Linked DNA regions of Macaca mulatta. The protein of the gene in region 1 interacts with the protein of each later gene in a biochemical or structural test. Links are inferred from orthologs where the notes say so. Each region holds a gene or a part of one and is shown on either strand. Other genes may lie near its edges.

Region 1 (2,232 bases):
GTGGGATCTAATCGCCCTTTTCCTAGCTCCTTACAGCCCCCTGAAGCCCCGCCCCCTTTCTCCGGGCCTGGATTGGCCAAATAACCTTGAGTCGGCCCCTCATTGGCTTTTTCACTCCTACTGCACGAAGTGAAAAAGTAAAGTGCGTTAAGGCGGCTGAAGCACTTAAAAAAAAAAAAAAAGTACAGCCTGAACAACATGGCGAAACCCTGTCTCTACAAAAAATACAAACAACAAAAACAAAAAATTAGCCAGGTATGGTGGCACGCGCCTGTAGTCCCGGCTACTCGGGAGACTGGGGCATTATCACTTGAGACTGGGAGGTCCAGGCTGCAGTGAGCTGTGATCGCACCACTGCACTCTGGCCTGGGCGACACAGCGAGACAACAACAACAAAAGACCAGGCTAGAAAGGACAGATCGGGACTACCCCGGGGATATTGGGCTAACCCTGAGCAAGGGGACAGCTAATGCCAATCTGTAACAGTAGAAGGACAAGAAAAAGACAGTGATACAGTAAGAAAAGAACTTTATTATTAATGTTTCTGTGTAAAACTTAAGCTTTTTTTTTTTTTTTAAAGAAACACCACCAAAAGGGGATTAGCTTAGTCCATCCCTTCCTCAGTCATCTGCTTCCCACATTCCTCCACATGCTATCCCAAAACATTCTGGAGGCAGGGAGAAGGGGAGGCAGCTAATCAGAGTCTGAGAGCACGATGATCTCTTCTGGATCGCATTGTGTGGCCACACTTGTCTGCAGGGAAGTCAGAGACAAAGAGTCAGAGATCTAGAGTACAGGAGAAAAGAAACAGACAGGAGGATTTACAGGATAAAACGGGTGGGAAAAAGAGACAGGATGTGGCAGGTGCAATATTCAGACAGAGCAGCTGAAACAGACAATGAAAGAGAACAAATTATCAGAGGAAACACGGCCTCCCCTTCTTACCTTGTAAGTACTGGGCCGAGGAGGTTGTGATTGGGGGGTTTGGGACAGCTGGGCTGGAGAAGGGATGCAGAGGGAGCTGGTCACCAGGCCATGGCTGGGAGAGTCCACCCTCGTGGAGGAATCAGCAACCGGAGCCAAGGAAGCCAAGGGGGAAGGTGGGCTGGGCAGGGTACATATCTTTTTCCCATTCTTCTCATGCACTGACCTTTGCCTTTCCACATAGCTAGAAACCGAAACATAAATATGCGGAGGGGTAAGGGAAGACTGAGGCTGGAGGAGGGCAGTCCAGTCTCTCCCAGCAGACTCAGTTCCCCAATATTCCTCTCCGAAAGTCCCCTGCAATCCCTCCTTGGCTTCCCTCTTCCTCCTCCTGTTGTTATTACCTGTTTCCTAATGGCCCTGATCCTGTTTGCTTCTTCTCCTTCCGAGATTTTTTGCAGGGGGGACCAGAATCTCCCCAGTTGTGAGGAGAGACGCCTCCATTGAAGGAAGTAGAAGAGACCATGCCTGCCCCATTCTCTAAGACAGTGGTGAAGGGCTCCTCTGATTGCTTCCTGGAAGAGGAAATGTCCATCTCCACAGAGGAAGGGGTATCCAGGGGCAAAGCTTCAATCTCTAGCTCAAAGAGCTGAGACACAGGGCTTTCTTCCTCCAGGGTCAGCTCCTCAGGCTGTTCTCCATTGCTTTCAGCATCTATGCTGGAGGGGGCCAGGGGTTCTTCTGACAGTAACAAGGGTGACACTTTGTTTTGCTGCTCCCCTGAAGACCTGCTGATCTGTTTGCCAGGTTCCAGGTTCTTTTCAGTGGAGATCTGTGGTGAGGACATGGGGCTCCCGTCTCCATCTTTACCTGGAAAAGAAGAAAAGGGGAGAGGGTAGCCCGAGAATGAGGGGAAAAAATACTGCTGAGAGGACACTAGGAGGAGGAAGGGAAAGGTCTCAAACAGGTGGCTTATGCCTAACAAAAACAAATGACAGGTGAGGAGAATGTTCCCTTGACATACCTGCTGCTTCTTCCTCTTCCTCCTCCTCTTCATCGTCCTCCTGACCCTCCTGCATCTGTTCCAGATCCTCCTCCTCTTCAGAATCTGTGGCCTCCTCCTCTTCTTCTTCTTCCTCCTCCTCCTCCTCATCCTCCTCCTCTTCCTCATCACTCTCTTCATCTTCTTCGTCATCTGTCTCAGCTTTGGAGGCAGAAGGGCACCCCTGGGATGCCATTCCACTAGGGCCCTGGGGGACAAAGAAGTTTCTCTAAGGAATCCCTTGCCCTAGAGGGTTTGGTTCTTGC
Region 2 (3,650 bases), on another chromosome or scaffold:
CTATGTCGGCCTGGCTGGTCTTGAACTCTCGGCGTCAAGTGATACGCCTGCCTTGGCCTCCCAAAATGCTGAGATTACAGGCATGAGCCACCAAGCCCAGCCTTCTTTCTTTTTTTTTGAGACAGAGTCTTACCCTGTCACCCAGGCAGGAGTGCAGTGGCGCGATCTTGGCTGACTGCAACCTTTGCCTCCCGGTTCAAGTGATTCATAGTCTCCCAAGTAGCTGGGACTACAGGCACACACCACCATGTCCGGCTAATTTTTATATGTTTAGTAGAGACAGGGTTTCACCATGTTGGCCAGGCCGGCCTCGAATTCCTGATCACAAATGATCCGCCTGCCTCGGCCTCCCAAAGCATTGGCATTAGAGGTGTGAGCCACCGCACTTGGCTTCCTTTTCTATTTTTGAGACAGTCTCGCTCTGTCACTCAGGCTGGAGTGCATTGGCACGATCTTGGCTCACTGCAATCTCTGCCTCCCAGGTTCAAGTGATCCTCCTGCCTTACCCTCCCAAGTAGCTGGGATTACAGGTGTGTGCCTCCGTGGCTAGCCCTCCTTTTCTTTCTTTTTTTTTTTTTTTTTGAGACGGAGTCTTGCTCTGTCACCCAGGCTGGAGTGCAGTGGCCCGATCTCGGCTCACTGCAAGCTCCGCCTCCCGGGTTCACGCCATTCTCCTGCCTCAGCCTCCCGAGTAGCTGGGACTACAGGCGCCCGCCACCTCGCCCGGCTAGTTTTTTTGTATTTTTTAGTAGAGACGGGGTTTCACCGTGTTAGCCAGGATGGTCTCGATCTCCTGACCTCGTGATCCACCCGTCTCGGCCTCCCAAAGTGCTGGGATTACAGGCTTGAGCCACCGCGCCCGGCCTAGCCCTCCTTTTCAATTGGTTAGTGTCTTGTGGTTTTCCCACCTTCCCACAGTGGAAAATGGCTCAGGACTGAGTGACATGAAGACAAGCCCAGGGGTTTACACTCAACCCTTGCACCCAAGCTCTGGGCTAAGATTTTGGGGTGCTGAGCACCACCCCTTTTGTAAGGAATTTTGTAAAATTTTATCCAAAGCATCACTCACAACTCCACTTTCTTCACTTAAATAAGGATTTCCGCCCCATTGCTGCCAGGCATACTGAGCTTCACAGTCCCTATTTCTTTTTCCTGGTGCCTGGGCCTGGTTCTCTGAGCCTGGTGGTCACACCCATGACATCTGGCACAGAGTTCTCTAATAATGGGGATACCTAGGAGGTTCCGAGACACCTTACAGTCCTGGGTTAGTAACCTGGATCTCTTTCCACCTCTTTAGGCATTTTATAATCTACCCTTCCCCCTTCTTGTGGGTAAAGTGCTCCTGAATGCTTATGGTCCAAAATAAGACTTCTTTCCTATCCTATTTCCTATTTCCAAATCTTTCTCCAGATCCACCCTAGAGGAAGGGATCAAAATCTTTCACATTCCAGCAGCTGGTGACAGGCCAGAACAGGGAAGAGGTGAGGGCTCAGCTGGCTCCGTAAAGGAGTGCAAATGGAGGAGCAGGATCTCTCTCTGCCTCTCAGTTTTCCTAAACATACTTCTCAATTCCTGGCGAGGACTCCTCCCTCTCCACTTCCTCCCCTAGTCTCCCCAAGGAGGGAGCAGGAGCATCTGAACGCGGAAATCGAGGTGCTAGTCCAGACTGCTCGGTCGGCTTTAGTCATAGCTTGATAATGCCCGGCTCAGGTTTACCACAAGCCACACAGCTGCTTTCCCTGTTCAACCTGTCTGTGACAGAAACCATGGGGGCCCAGGCAACCAGTATCGAGGCGGTGGAATCGGGGTCTTACACACGGTTCTGCGGGCAGGCCACCGGCCAGGACACGCGGGGAGCCACGTAGCCGGGAGGGTGGGGCTGCCCACCGACCCAGGACGCGGCAACGGACCGGGGAGGGCGGAGCTCCAGCAATCGCCTCCCGTCCCCCGCCGGCACCCCCGGGCTCCCACCTGGTCCCGGCGCGGCCTGCGCGCTAGCGAGGTTCGCGCGGTGAAGTACTGCTCGAGCTCCGAGTCCGAGTCCTCTTGGCTGCAGTAGCCACTGCTCGTCGTGCTGCTCCAGGTCATCTCGAAAGAAGGCGTCTCCGCCTCGCCCATCGCCGCACCCGCCCGTCCCCCTGGTCCCGCGCGTCCGTAGCCACCAACCACCGCCCCGGTCGCGTGCGTGCGTGTACGCGTGTCAGTGTGCGCGTGCGCCCGGGCCAGCGCCGCGCCGCAACCGTTAAGACTGAAACGTAGATCGCCGGGATCTAGCTCTTGTGTCATTGGGGGAGGAACGCCGGGGCGGGGACACGCACACTTAGCCCCGAGGAATGACCTCATCGCTCCGGCAGCTCCACTCAGAGACCCCACCTACCACAGGGAACGGGGCGGGTGCCAGCGTCCGCGCAAGCGCACAAGGGTGGCCTCTGGCCGGAGGCGAGGGCGGGAAGGTGCGGGAAGTGCGCGTGCGCGGAGCCTGCGTCCGCCTTGGCTGGGGACTGCTAGCGGCTGGGGTCTGCTAGCAGCCGGTGGAGGCCTTGCGGAGCCGGCAATCCAGGCACCCCTCTCAGCCCTCGCTCAGAATTAGCCTCTCTCTGCCGCCGGGAAATCGGCACTTAGAACGCTCCTTGCGCGCAGCACCCAGGCAGTCTTCGAGAATGCCTGCGCTGTGGCCTGCCCGTCCTCGCCCTTCCCATACGCCCTCGGCCCCGCGCTCACCACGTTCGTGTCCCGCTCCACCGCGGGTTCCCAGCCCAGGTCCCGGGGCCCGCAGCAGTCCAGGCAGACGAGCGCGCGGCAGCGGTAGTGGCAGGTGAACTTGCAATCTGCAGAGAGGCCTAGCCGTGAGGCGGAGGAGCCCCAGGTCGGGGAAATGTCCGGGAGATTGAAGGGAAGCCCCAGGAAGAGGGCCGTTGCCCGCCAGGCTCCGCAGGCCCGGCTTCAGTGTTTTACCTTACACTGCTATGCGGACTTTAATGTTGGCCACCCTGGGTGTCTGGAAACCGGCCGGAAGGCCACAGCAGAGGCCTGCTCAACAGTTGGGATCTCTGTCGCCTAGCACAGAGCTTCCCCTTTCCTCATTGGCAATTAAAAAAAAAAAACCAAAAACCGGAGTCTTCCTTTTGTCACCCAGGCTGGAGTGCAATGGCGCGATTTCGGCTCGCTGCAACCTCCGCCTCCTGGGTTCAAGCGATTCTTCTGCCTCAGCCTCTCGAGTACCTGGAATTACAGGCGCCCGCCACCACGCCCCGCTAATTTTTGTATTTTTAGCAGAGACAGGGTTTCACCATGTTAGCCAGGCTGGTCTCAAACTCGTGACCTCAGGTGATCCACCCGCCTCGGCCTCCCAAAGTGCTGGGACTACAGGCGTGAGCCACCGCGCCCGGCCCTTCATTGGGAACTTCTATGGAATACATCTGCCCATTTACTTGAAGGAAAAACTAAACACCTTTAACCTACCTCTGCCCTCTGGTTGTCATCTGTCTGTACTCCCCTCAGACCAAAACATTGGTCTCTATACACTCTAATCCTTCGCCTTCACTCTCCCATCTACCCACTTCAGCCAGGCTTGCCTCTCCCTCCAGGAAACTGCCCAGGACAGGGTCCTCAGCGATCTATGCGCTGCCAAATGGAATGCAGTGTTCCAT
Region 3 (3,750 bases), on another chromosome or scaffold:
GTTGGCCAGGCTGGTCTTGAACTCCTGGCCTCGAGTGATCTCCTGCCTCGGCCTCCCAAAGTACTGGGATTACAGGCGTGAGCCACTGCACCTGGACCCCATGACTTTAATTTCTTTCTCTTTTTTTTTTTTTTGAGACGGAGTCTCCCTCTGTCGCCCAGGATAGAGTGCAGTGGCATGATCTCCGCTCACTGCAAGCTCCACCTCCCGCATCCACACCATTCTCCTGCCTCAGCCTCCCAAGTAGCTGGGATTATAGGCGCCCGCCACCACGCTCGGCTAATTTTTTTGTATTTTTAGTAGAGACGGGGTTTCACAAGTTAGCCAGGATGGTCTCGATCTCCTGACTTCGTGATCTGCCCTCCTCAGCCTCCCAAAGTGCTGGGAGTACAGGTGTGAGCCACCGTGCCCAGCCCATGACTTTAATTTCTAAGGTATAAACCTGATGATGTCACTAACCTGCATAAAACTTGAATCATTCACAAGTGCCCTCAATAAAGTCCAACTTCCTTGGGACAGCATGCCCAGCCCTTCATGGTCTGGTCCCTGTTTACATTTTTTTTTTTTTAAGACATAGCCTCACTCCGTTGTCCAAGCTGGAGTGCAGTGGTATGATCTTGGCTCACTGCAACCTCCACCTCCCGGGTTCTAAGGGATTCTCCTGCCTCAGGCTCCAGAGTAGCTGGGATTACAGGTGCGCGACACCATGCCCGGCTAATTTTGTATTTTTAGTAGAGACGGGGTTTCGCCATGTTGGCCAGGCTGGTCTCGAACTCCTGACCTCAGATGATCCACCAGCCTTGGCCTCCCAAAGTGCTGGGATTACAGGTGTGAGCCACCTCACCTGGTCGGTCTCCATTTACTTCAGCAACCACATTATTTGCAACACTTCCCTCGCCCCGGGTCCCCACCTTCTACAATAGGCCCCCAAATCTATGTCTCAGCCATACTGTTACAAATGCCTGCTTTTCTTTCTTCCCTTTTTTTTTTTTTTGAGACAGAGTCTTGCTCTGTCACCCAGGCTGGAATCCAGTGGCCTGATCTCATCTCACTGCAACCTCCACCTCCCAAGTTCAAGGGATTCTCCTGCCTCAGCCTCCCAAGTAGCTGGAATTACAGGCGCGCGCCACCACGCCCAGCTACTTTTTATATTTTTGTAGAGACAGGGTTTTGCCATGTTGGCCAGGCTGGTCTCGAACTCCTGACCTCAAGTGATCCGCCTGCCCTGGCCTCCCAAAGCGCTCGGATTACAGGCGTGAGCCACCGCGCCCGGTCAAATGCCTGTTTTTCAAAGGTGCTGTCCTCTCTCTTGCCTCTGAAACTTGCTGTTATCTTTGCCTTCCCTTTGCCTGGCTAAGAACTCCTGTTCTTCAGGTCCTGAGACGTCCCCTCCTTCGCTGACTCCTCAGGTGGAGTTCGGTGCCTATTCTCTGTGCTCCTCTAACACTCTGAGCTCTGACACGGAGAGAACTTCGGTCACTGGGACCCGATCATTCCCACCGCCCCAGCCCCTCAACACTTCCTCGAACACAGTAACCTGCTTGAGAGATTAAGTGAGAAGCCTGTTTTAACAGGTTGCATCCTTCTCCTTGCAACCCCTGGCGCCCCACGTCGCAGTAGCAACCGCAGGCCCCGCTCAGAGGCTGGGGGAGGGGAGGCGGGCGACCAGTCGTGCAGGGCTCTTCTCCCAGAAAAGATGAGGAAGAGACGGGGCAGGGAAGAGCTTTGGGTTCTCGGCAAGAAAATGTATCCTTGCAGCCGTCTCCATCAGATTCAGCCTCCCTCCTCGGACGCACCCTCCCCTCTAGGAGTCCCACTCAAACTCTCCACATCAAACTCTCCACATCAGACTTCCTCAGAATCTTCCCACCAAGATTACCTCAGGGTTCCCCCACGCGATCCCCTCGATCTCAGCCTCGATCTCCTTTCCTCACAGCCTCCTCCCTCAGCCTCGACTTCCCCCTCGCAGCCTCCTCTCCGAGCCTCTCCCCAGCGCCTCAGCCTCCCGCAGCCTCCCATCGGCGCTCCAGCCTCAGCCTCCAGGTCCCCGGTTCGGCCCGGCCCGGCCCCGCCCCCGCCGCGAGGACAGTGCTCACCGTCGTAGTAGTAACAGACTTTCCTCCGGGTGCCCTGCGTCTGCGCCATCTTGCTCGCCTCCCGTCCCTACCGTCAGTCGGTCCGTCCGCCCTCCCGCCCGCGGCTCAGCTCAGCGTCCGACCCAGGGGGGAGGGGGCGGGTCTCCGGCCCGCCCCGCCCGTCCCCTCCTGAGCTCACCTATAGCCGCGCAGCCCGGGCACCGCTCCAGCCAATCAGCTTGCGCAGACACGGGCCCGGAACTCGGCAGGGGGCAAGGGCAGCCCGGAGAGGCCGCCGAGGGCCCCCTGGGCCTGTACCAAGGTCTGCGACAGATGGGTGGGGAGCCGCCCGGGGACCGTACCATCAGTCCCGGGGGAGGAAAGCAGCTCCGTAAACTTAACAGTCCCACTTGGTCGTGAAAAGCGTGCTTGGAGATCGGAGGCCAACTTTCTGATTTTACGGAGAATAAACCGAGGCCTACAGGGGAAAAGTGACTTGCACAAGGTCACTCAGCCAATAAAAGGGCTGAACCTGGGTTAGAAAGCGAGTTTGTGATCGCAAAGGAGGGCTACAGAAAAATAATTAAATTAAAAAGAAAAGCAACACGCTGGTTTTGAGAGGAAGAAACTGACAAGAAAGGGAAAGAAAGCTGTTTGTCGAGGGGCTGCTGTGTGCCAAGTACTGTGCGACAGTTTACCAATGTTATTTCAGTTTTTCCTCAAAACACCTCTCGGCCAAGGGCTTTTTACCTCCATTTTACAGGACAGGATAAAGAAGTTCAGATTTCTGTGAATTACTCAAAGTTACACAAAGTAATTAAATTCAATTTTTCAACTGTACAGGGTTTTTTGAATGCCTTCTTTGCACCAGAGGCACTGTAACAAAGTGACAGAACCCAGCCTTTCTGACTCCAAAACCTACCTCCCTGAAGCAGTCACCCAGGATGACTTAAGTAGGAGTCTCTTTAGACAGGAAGAAATGGGATTATCCTATGATAGGAGAGCAGATTTTCCTTTCCTTTCCTTTCCTTTCCTTTCCTTTTTCCTTTCCTTTTTCCTTCCCTTCTCTTCCCCTCCCTTCCCCTCCCCTCCTCTCCCCTCCCCTCCCTTCCCTTCCCTTCCCTGAGGACAGTTCCGCTTTAGTTGCCCTGGCTGGAGTACAATGGTGTGATCTGTGCTGTGTGATCTCGGCTCACCGCAATCTCTGCGTCTGGGTTCAAGCGGTTCTCCTGCCTCAGCCTCCCGAGTAGCTGGCCTTACAGGCATGCGCCACCACGCCCGGCTAACTTTGTATTTTTAGTAGAGACGAGGTTTCTCCATGTTGGTCAAGGTGGTCTCCGACTCCTGAGCTCAGGATCCGCCCGCCTCGGCCTCCCAATGTTACAGGCATGAGCCATGGTGCCTGGCCTAGAAGAGCAGGTTTCTCAGCTTGGAAGCTAATGACATTTTGGGCCAGGTAATTCTTTTTTGTAGGAAGCTGTTCTGTGCCTGGGCAACTAGAGCGAAACTCTTGTCTCCAAAAAAAAAAAAAAAAAAAAAAAAAAAAAATTAAGCAGCATCCTTAGCCTCTACCCACTAGATGCCAGTAGCACCTTCCCCGCAGGCTGTGACAACCAAAATTGTCTCTAGACATTGCCAAGTACTGTGCAATAGCTTTACCACTGGATTGGGGGGA

What was found.
Region 2: the proteins of DAXX (region 1) and RASSF1 form a complex in vitro, tested with the Homo sapiens proteins (4 studies listed by BioGRID and IntAct, with this or other methods). The link is inferred for Macaca mulatta from reciprocal best matches to the Homo sapiens genes DAXX and RASSF1.
Region 3: the proteins of DAXX (region 1) and HDAC1 form a complex in vitro, tested with the Homo sapiens proteins (2 studies listed by BioGRID, with this or other methods). The link is inferred for Macaca mulatta from reciprocal best matches to the Homo sapiens genes DAXX and HDAC1.

The regions. Positions count from the first base shown.
Region 1 is NC_133409.1:148,970,278-148,972,509, reverse strand, and holds the end of DAXX (death domain-associated protein 6), read right to left. Parts: intron 2,175-2,232; coding exon 1,949-2,174; intron 1,795-1,948; coding exon 1,329-1,794; intron 1,169-1,328; coding exon 946-1,168; intron 754-945; coding exon 694-753; 3' UTR 512-693; downstream 1-511. UniProt on the Homo sapiens protein: Transcription corepressor known to repress transcriptional potential of several sumoylated transcription factors. Down-regulates basal and activated transcription.
Region 2 is NC_133407.1:113,814,751-113,818,400, forward strand, and holds part of RASSF1 (ras association domain-containing protein 1), read right to left. Parts: intron 3,065-3,650; exon of another isoform or gene 2,956-3,064; intron 2,841-2,955; coding exon of another isoform or gene 2,829-2,840; coding exon 2,722-2,828; intron 2,374-2,721; coding exon 1,972-2,373; exon of another isoform or gene 833-1,971; intron 405-832; exon of another isoform or gene 257-404; intron 1-256. UniProt on the Homo sapiens protein: Potential tumor suppressor. Required for death receptor-dependent apoptosis. Mediates activation of STK3/MST2 and STK4/MST1 during Fas-induced apoptosis by preventing their dephosphorylation.
Region 3 is NC_133406.1:208,585,198-208,588,947, forward strand, and holds the start of HDAC1 (histone deacetylase 1), read right to left. Parts: upstream 2,212-3,750; 5' UTR 2,146-2,211; coding exon 2,097-2,145; intron 1-2,096. UniProt on the Homo sapiens protein: Histone deacetylase that catalyzes the deacetylation of lysine residues on the N-terminal part of the core histones (H2A, H2B, H3 and H4).